Linked DNA regions of Macaca mulatta. The protein of the gene in region 1 interacts with the protein of each later gene in a pairwise test. Links are inferred from orthologs where the notes say so. Each region holds a gene or a part of one and is shown in the gene's direction. Other genes may lie near its edges.

Evidence for each region. The genes of interacting proteins can lie anywhere in the genome.
Region 2: the proteins of MKRN3 (region 1) and protein BEX2 interact in binary tests that used the Homo sapiens proteins (3 or more experiments, as listed by UniProt). The two-hybrid records come from large-scale screens. The link is inferred for Macaca mulatta from reciprocal best matches to the Homo sapiens genes MKRN3 and BEX2.

The regions. Positions count from the first base shown.
Region 1 is NC_133412.1:6,385,446-6,390,575, reverse strand, and holds the start of MKRN3 (E3 ubiquitin-protein ligase makorin-3), read left to right. Parts: upstream 1-1,837; 5' UTR 1,838-1,946; coding exon 1,947-3,470; 3' UTR 3,471-5,130. UniProt on the Homo sapiens protein: E3 ubiquitin ligase catalyzing the covalent attachment of ubiquitin moieties onto substrate proteins.
Region 2 is NC_133426.1:109,951,033-109,954,631, reverse strand, and holds protein BEX2, read left to right. Parts: upstream 1-1,437; 5' UTR 1,438-1,844; coding exon 1,845-1,859; intron 1,860-2,008; coding exon 2,009-2,087; intron 2,088-2,464; coding exon 2,465-2,856; 3' UTR 2,857-3,099; downstream 3,100-3,599. UniProt on the Homo sapiens protein: Regulator of mitochondrial apoptosis and G1 cell cycle in breast cancer.

The DNA.
Region 1 (5,130 bases):
TTGATAAATAAAAATGATTTTCGTATATTGCACTCCTGTCCAGTGTCTTTGCTAAATGCACCTATTAAAGCTAATAGCTTATCTGTAAATTATTCTTAATTTTCTGTTGCATTCCATCAATAATTTATTTCCAGTTATAACATCTTTTATTTCTTTGCTATTACACTAGCTAGGACTTGCAATAATAAATACAGATTTTTTTGCCTTTAGATTTATTTCAGAGGGAAAGTTTTAGAAACCTTTTAGATAATTATCTAAATTACAGATGTAACAGATCCATATTCACATTTATTTCTGCTCCTGTCATTTTTACTAATAGATGTTTCCAGCAATATGACTATTTCATGTAAATTTTCAAGTTTAATGTCCTAATTTTGTTCCTGATATTCTCTAATGATTTTTAATGCCTGTTATTAATGTAGTGATAACATATTTGAAATTACTGATGTTGGTTATTACAGCCTTCTTCATTTTTCCTTGATAAGTTTCACCAGAAATTATCTGGCTTCAATAAGCTGTTTAAAGGATTTTACTTAATTTATTTCCCTTATTTAATATTTGTTTTTCTTCATTGCTTTTCTTGGCCTTATTATTTGCTTCATTCTGCTTTCTTTGCTTTTACCTACCTAATTATAATTTAATTTGTTGACTTGGGTGATTATAAATATTCAGATATGTTTCCACTTTACAGATTTAGGCAACAAAATTTCCTCAAAGAAACTTACAGAAAAAAAAAAAATCCAATAATATATAAAACGATATATCATGACACAGAAGGGCTTCTTATTAGAAACAAATTGGTCAGTTAAATATTTGAAACTCATAGCTGCAAATAATCACATTAAGAGAATAAAGGGAAAAACAAGATTATCTCAAAAAATATATAAAACTACATGACAGAATTCAGTATGCAGTCATGATACGTACTCTCAGCAAAGTAGGAATACAAAAAAATGATTAATCCACTACACGTATCTGCAAAAATGACAAAACGCTTATATATGGAAATTAAAGACCATTCCTTTGTGGATAGTATGCCACAACACAGCACAGATGGGGTTGAAAGAAAGCAAGAGAAACAAAGGGCTGCCATGAATTAAACCAGTAGAGAAAATAAAAGCCTGGGTCATGCAGGGGACAGTGCCTTATTCAGCCAGCATCAGGAATGATTGAAGTCTGGGGCTTCTACACAGTGGGAAAACGAGCATAGTAATCACAATAAAGAAAGACATCTGAAAGGTGCTAACTTAGCCTCGGATCAGAAGCGCTGTCTGCTAATGCCTTGCTGGTGAAAAGCGTATCCTGCGTAAGCCCTCAGAAATCCCAGAAAACAAAGACCAAAAGAAACGACGCTTTGTCAACAGAGCAAATCGAAAAAATCTTCCAGCAGTGACAGGGCATTAAAAAAAAAAAAACGCAGACATAAGATGGAGTGAATCAAAAAAGGATTTATCTAATTCATGTATGAAATGTTTCAGAATCTATTGGATTCTAATTTTTTTAAAGCAGACAGATACGAAAATACAACGAAGACGTGCATGACTGAAACCAAAAGAGATTAAAGTAAAACCTCATTCTCCTGAGGAAACGGTGTGAGGAGGGAATTAGGGGCTGCCGGAACACAGCGAAGCAGAGGCAGAAGGCAGACAAAAGGGGCTGGGTTGGTCCCTGCCTGTGTGAACAAAAAATATGTCAGATTGGAAAATTGCGGTAAAATCCAAGCGCGGCGCGTACGTTGCCCCCACAGGAAGTGTCCGCCGCGCTGCCTGTGCCCGGAAGTAGGTAGGAACACACAGTCACAGGCAGCCAAGAACCGGGGGGGAAGAAAAAGAGATGCACACTTCCCCTAGAGAAGCCTCCGAGCGCGGCCGCGACTCCGGGCCTCAAGCCCATAAAGAAAAAATACCGGAGACGTTCTGGCACCATTTCGGGGTAAAGAAGCTGCCATGGAAGAGCCTGCAGCTCCCTCAGAAGCCCAGGAGGCAGCCGGGGCCCAGGCAGGTGCTGAGGCAGCAGGGGAGGGTGTGTCCGGGCCGGACCTTCCCGTCTGTGAGCCCTCCAGGGAATCTGCTGCTCCAGATTCGGCCCTGCCACATGCGCCTGTGGGCTGGGCCCCCTTCCCTGTAGCTCCAGTCCCTGCCCACCTCCGCACAGGAGGCCTGAGGCCTGCACCAGCCTCAGGAGGAGGAGCATGGCGCAATCCGTTTCCAAGCCGAAGCAGCGGCATTTGGACAAAGCAGATCATCTGCAGGTATTATATACATGGGCAGTGCAAGGAGGGGGAGAACTGTCGCTATTCCCACGACCTTTCTGGTCGGAAGATGGCCACTGAGGGCAGCGTTTCGCCGCCTGGGGCCTCTGCAGGTGGAGGCCCTAGCACGGCTGCGCACATCGAGCCCCCGACTCAGGAAGTGGCGGAAGCCCCCCCGGCTGCATCCTCCCTTTCCTTGCCTGTGATTGGCTCGGCTGCTGAAAGGGGTTTCTTTGAAGCCGAGAGAGACAATGCAGACCGTGGAGCTGCTGGAGGAGCAGGTGTAGAAAGCTGGGCGGATGCCATTGAGTTTGTTCCAGGGCAGCCCTACCGGGGCCGCTGGGTTGCATCTGCCCCCGAGGCTCCTCCACAGAGCTCAGAGACTGAGAGGAAGCAGATGGCTGTGGGCAGGGGGTTGCGGTTTTGCTATTATGCTTCCAGGGGAGTTTGCTTTCGTGGGGAGAGCTGTATGTTCCTCCATGGAGACATATGCGACATGTGTGGGCTGCAGGCCTTGCACCCCATGGATGCTGCCCAGAGGGAAGACCATATAAGGGCCTGCATTGAAGCACACGAGAAAGATATGGAACTCTCGTTTGCTGTGCAGCGTGGTATGGACAAGGTGTGTGGCATCTGCATGGAGGTTGTCTATGAGAAAGCCAACCCCAATGACCGCCGCTTTGGCATTCTTTCCAATTGCAACCATACCTTCTGTATTAGGTGTATCCGCAGGTGGAGAAGTGCCAGACAGTTTGATAACAGGATCATCAAGTCTTGCCCGCAGTGCAGGGTCACCTCCGACTTGGTCGTTCCCAGTGAGTTCTGGGTGGAGGAGGAGGAAGAGAAGCAGAAACTTATTCAGCAATACAAGGAGGCAATGAGCAACAAGGCCTGCAGGTATTTTGCGGAAGGCAGGGGTAACTGCCCATTTGGAGACACATGCTTTTACAAGCATGAATACCCTGAGGGCTGGGGAGATGAGCCTCCTGGGCCAGGTGGTGGGTCATTCGGCGCATACTGGCATCAACTTGTGGAGCCTGTGCGAATGGGAGAGGGCGACATGCTCTATAAAAGCCGTAAGAAGGAGCTTGTCGTGCTTCGACTGGCCAGTCTGTTGTTTAAGCGGTTTCTTTTACTGAGAGATGAGTTACCCTTCTCTGAGGACCAGTGGGACTTGCTTCATTATGAGCTGGAAGAATATTTCAATTTGAATCTGTAGCATTGTGCTGTGGCATGTGGTCTAGTCTGCTGAGGTTCTGTCGTCTGCTATTGCCTGTTTTCCCTGTGTTGACACTCTTATTGCTTTCAGGGGCTGTTGAGGCAGTGCTTCTGTTTTCTTGTCTATTCTGCATATCTTTCCTCCTAGGATTATGGTGATTATCTGTGTTTAAAAAAATAAGTCCTTAAAGTTACTGTTTTGGTGAAATTAATATTAATGTCAGCTTATGGCTTTTTTTGTCATCTCTGTTTTCAACAGGATTAACTCAGTTCTAGTGTAGTGTTTACTGAATTTCCACACTTATTTTGAAGACCCTCAAGAGTAAATGTGGCAGAGTGAAAGGAGAAGTTTTAATTGAACTAGTAGCTTTGTGCTATAATAGCCTTAACAAATGGACCCTCGCAGGGTCTTGCAGCTGCTCATCTGTTTACAGTTTGTTCTTTCCCTCCTTCCCCTTCAAGTGCACTTGTTAAACTGTGATGAACTTGTGATTTTGTGTTTTACTTGACCAAAACCAAGTGTATATGTTTACATGTTTTTATCCTGTTTAGCTTGACATGAAATAATTTATATTTGGAAATATATATTTAAGAATGATATATATATAATATATATGTATAAGAGCTATGTATTTGAAAATATATATAAAAGAATATACATCACAATATTTATGTTTATGTAATAAAGTAAATACAGAGCCGAAAGCTGAAGGTCAAAGCCTAACAGGATTGGCTGTTGTGTGGATGTGAGTTGTGTGAATAATCATTCTGTCCCTTGCACAGAAGCCAGTAATTAGCATCTAATGAAAAGGACTGTTCAAGTGGGTCTGGCCAAATGTAACAGATGCAGATCTTAAGAGGACTTACAAAGCACTATATTGGTAATTCTTACAATGGCATTAATAGCTCACTCTATAAAAACAGAAATTGTGTTCCTACGCAGTTTTGCCACCTTCTCAATAATTCTTTGTAACAGCAAATCCTAGGCTCAGAGGCACAGTGCTTTGTATTTGATATACAAAGTCTCTAGACTTTCCCAACAAGGGGCTTTAGACAAAAGATTTCAACATAAAAGTAACAAGATTATAAAAGGGAAAATAGAACAAAAATACTAAAACCAGTGAGAATAAAATAATGGAAAGATAATAAAATATAGAAAGCACTAAAAACTAAGTGTAAGAGTAATATAGAAAATTTACATACAACTTAGATTAAATGAAAGCAGTTTAAAGACTGAAAGTCAAAGGCTATAAGACTTCATTACAATCAAAATGAAACATCCTATTTAAAATACACACAACATAAAAATACAGAAGCATTCAAAGTAGTAAGATGGGAAAAAAAACCAAACAGGTGCTGTGACTGTCTTGATTGTAGACAATGTTTATGGTAAGGATAAACACTTTGCTGGAGATAAAAAGGAATGATACATAAACATTAAATTGTAATTCACAGGAATATATAACTGTTCAAATTTTGTATACATTTAATAATGTTGTATCAGATACACAACTGATAAAAATAGAAAATCCTAACTCCAGACTCTTAGTGGACAATTTTAATACACCTTTTTAGTAACCAAACAAGCAAAGAAAAAATGAATGTGAAAGATAATTATGCCATTTTAATGACTTACCTGCATAACTTATGATCTGCATCAA
Region 2 (3,599 bases), on another chromosome or scaffold:
GAGTTCCATTATGCCTCTTTGCAATCAGAAAAACCCCAACTTTCAAGCCAGGCAAAAACTGATTTGATTCAACTTATATCAGTACAGATTAGTTTTGCCTGTTTTAGAACTTATATAAATGCAATCATGCAGAAAACAATTGTGGCTGGTGTCTTTATAGATACAATTTTTTTTTCATTTTTTTAAGATTCATCTATGTTACTGTTTGTATCAGTAGCTTGTCACTTTTTTATTGCTTAGCAGCTTTAAAATGTATGAATACATCACAATTTGTTTATCAGTTCACTTGTTGGACATTTAGATTTTTATCAACTTTGGGGCTATCATAAAGGAAATTTCTATGAACTTTCCTATGCCAATATTTTTGAGAAAATATGTTTTAAAATCTGTTGGGAAAATTCCAAAAAGTGGAATTTCTAGGACATATGGTAAGCCTAAGTTTAACTTTTTAAGAAACTGCCACCAAGTCTTGGAGTGGTTGAACCCCTCACCAACAATCAATGAGAGTTTCTATTGTTACTATTTTCAAAAGTGCTTGGGACTGTCAGACATTTTAAGTTCAGCAATTATAATGGGTGTGCAGTGGTTTTTCATTCTGGCTTTATTTTACATTTCCCTGATAGTTAATGAGGTTGAGCATCTTTTCATGAGCTCGTTGGTAATTTGTGTATGTAGTTTTGTGAAATGTTTATTCAAATCTATTATTTGCCTTCTTGAGTTTTCGAAGTTCTTTATATATGCTCTGAATTCAAACCCACTGTCAGATACACATATTGTGAATATTTACTCCCAGCTTCTCACTTCATTTTCTTAACCATGTGGTTTAAATGGTAGTTTTTAATTTTGATAAATCCAATTTCTCATTTTTTTTTTTGTGATCTGTTCTTTTTCTGTCCTAAGGGATTGTTTTCTCAAAGATTATAAAGTTTTTCTCTATGTTTTATTCTAGAAGTTTTCTAATTTGAGTTTTTACATTTAGGTTTATGACCATTTTGAATTAATTTGTGTATAGTATAGATAAAAGGCAAGGCTCCTGTTTTTCCTTTAAGAATTCTGTTATTTCAGCACCATTTGTTTAAAAGACTATACTTTCCATATCGAATTACTTTGACATCTTTGTCAAAAATTAATTAACAGGCAGAAGGAGGTGAATCCTGGCAGCCAAGGGCAGAGAGAGGCAAGTCCCCAGAGAAGTGGGAATGGCCAACAGCTCCCTGAGAAGATGCCTTCCGTCCTTCCTGGGCAGGCAAGGGAAGTCTCAAGAATACACAAGAGAAGGGAGAGTGGCAGAGCCCAGGCTGGGGATGTTAAAAGGGACTCACGGTGAGGATGGGGGCGGGCCCGAAAGTCCCACCTGACTCCAGGCTGCAGGAGGGAGCGTGGGACGGGGGCGGAGCCGCTGGCGATGACAACAGCCCCACGTGATCGGCCAACACTGAGTCTTGCCTCTCTCTGGCGTCGGAGCCGCCGTCGCTCGCTCCTTTCTCGGCTGTGGTACCTGTTCCCGGTGGCCCTGAGGACGTGCGGGCCAGGTGCGGCCCCGAAAGCAGGAAGCGGAGGGGGAGCAGGTAAGGGAAACGGAGGGGGTCCCTGGGGTTGGTGTGGGGGAGCGGCCCCGGCCTGCGGATGCCCCACCCCCGAGGAGCCGCGCTGAGACGCAGCCGGTGCACGATGCAGCCCCGGGGCCCCGCCGCGGGACCGCGAGCCTTTAGTGAGCGGAGGAGTGCCTGGCCCCGCGGGAGCCGGCGGTCCTGAGGCTGCGGTCCTGAGGCTACGGCCCTTCTGAAGCACCTGCCTCCGCCACCAGCGCAATCTTTTCTGAGATCCCTGCTCCGCCCTTCTTGATGCAGAAAATGGTGGTCAGCTTGGGGGGCGGGGCGGCTGAGGCGCGGGGAGAGGGCGGCGAGGAGGGCCCGGGCCCGGCGCGGGGAAGGGGCCGGGTGGCGGCGGGTCCTCGCTAGTGTTCCGCTGCAGCAGCCTCCACTCTTCCCACCCCGGCCGTCTGCAGGTCTGCGAGGCTAAGTGTCGAGGCGACGCACCTCACGTCGAGAATCGGGAGGAGGAGGAGACTGCAAGGATAGGCCCAGGTCGGTGCGAGGGACGGTGGCGGGGCGGGGGTCAGAACATGACGAAAGCCCAGTCTGGGACCCCAGTCGGTGCCTTCACTGCTACGCTTCGCAATCCCCCACCCCCACCCCTTCTTCGTCCTCCATTTTGGCGCCTGCAGAGGCCTGGAGATGGATCTGCAGAGAAGATGGTGGGCTTTGCGGGAGAGAGGGGCGCGGACTGCCCCCCCCCAACCCCGAGGGTACACGGGGCCTCTCTGGTGGGAAAAAAAAAATGAAATTTAAAAAAGGCCTTTGAAATCCAGGGCTCTGAATTTTGAAAGGTGGGTAGTCGGGCCTCTGTCCTCGGTGCTGATCAGTTCACCAAGAATTGAGTCCGTTTTCTCTCTGTCTCATAGGAGTAATGGAGTCCAAAGAGGAACGAGCGTTAAACAATCTCAACGTGGAAAATGTCAACCAGGAAAATGATGAAAAAGATGAAAAGGAGCAAGTTGCTAATAAAGGGGAGCCCTTGGCCCTCCCTTTGAATGTTGATGAATACTGTGTGCCTAGAGGAAATCGTAGGCGGTTCCGTGTTAGGCAGCCCACCCTGCAGTATAGATGGGACATAATGCATAGGCTTGGAGAGCCACAGGCAAGGATGAGAGAGGAGAATATGGAAAGGATTGGGGAGGAGGTGAGACAGCTGATGGAAAAGCTGAGGGAAAAACAGTTGAGTCATAGTCTGCGGGCAGTCAGCACTGACCCCCCTCACCATGACCATCACGATGAGTTTTGCCTTATGCCCTGAATCCTGATGGTTTCCCTGAAGTTAATAGGGAGACCCCAGCTTCCTAAACTTACACATTTGTGGTGTACCTTTGTCGTAAACCTTTTGATGTTACCTATTTCTTGTGGGTCTCCTATTACCAGCTTCAAACTGAATGTTGTTTTGACCCAGTTTGTAAGTTTCTGTCAGCAGGGGAGTTTTACCTACTGCATGGAAAGATGCTCATTATATATTGTGAAGTTAATAAAATAGTTTAAAAAACCATTCTCTGCATTCTTTTTTACTTTAAATCTTAAATATGAACATAAACAGTCATATATGTACACATATATACACATATATAGAAAATCGTGTTTATCTTTGTGGTAGAATTAAGAGGGAGTTTATTCTTGCTTATCCATAATTTCTTATTTTTTAAAATGGAACACGTATTACTTATAAAAAGCAATGTGACCACCTTATAAAAGCAATGTGAGCACTTAATAAACACTTGTGACAGAATCTCAATTTTAACTTGCTTCTGGGATCTCTTTTTAGAAATGTTTGAGAGACACATCTCTTTGAAGATCATAATATTTATCAGTAAGATGAAGACAATCACCTCCCAGGCTTATTGTATGGACCAGAAAAGGTAATGAGGTTGTAAGCTTTCTCCCAAGTTCTTGTTCTTACTGACATGCATGACCCAACCCTTTAGATATTCCCTTCTGTTATTAGAGGAAATCTCCAAGGTGAGGTCTTCCCTATATTCACAAGTCCAGTGG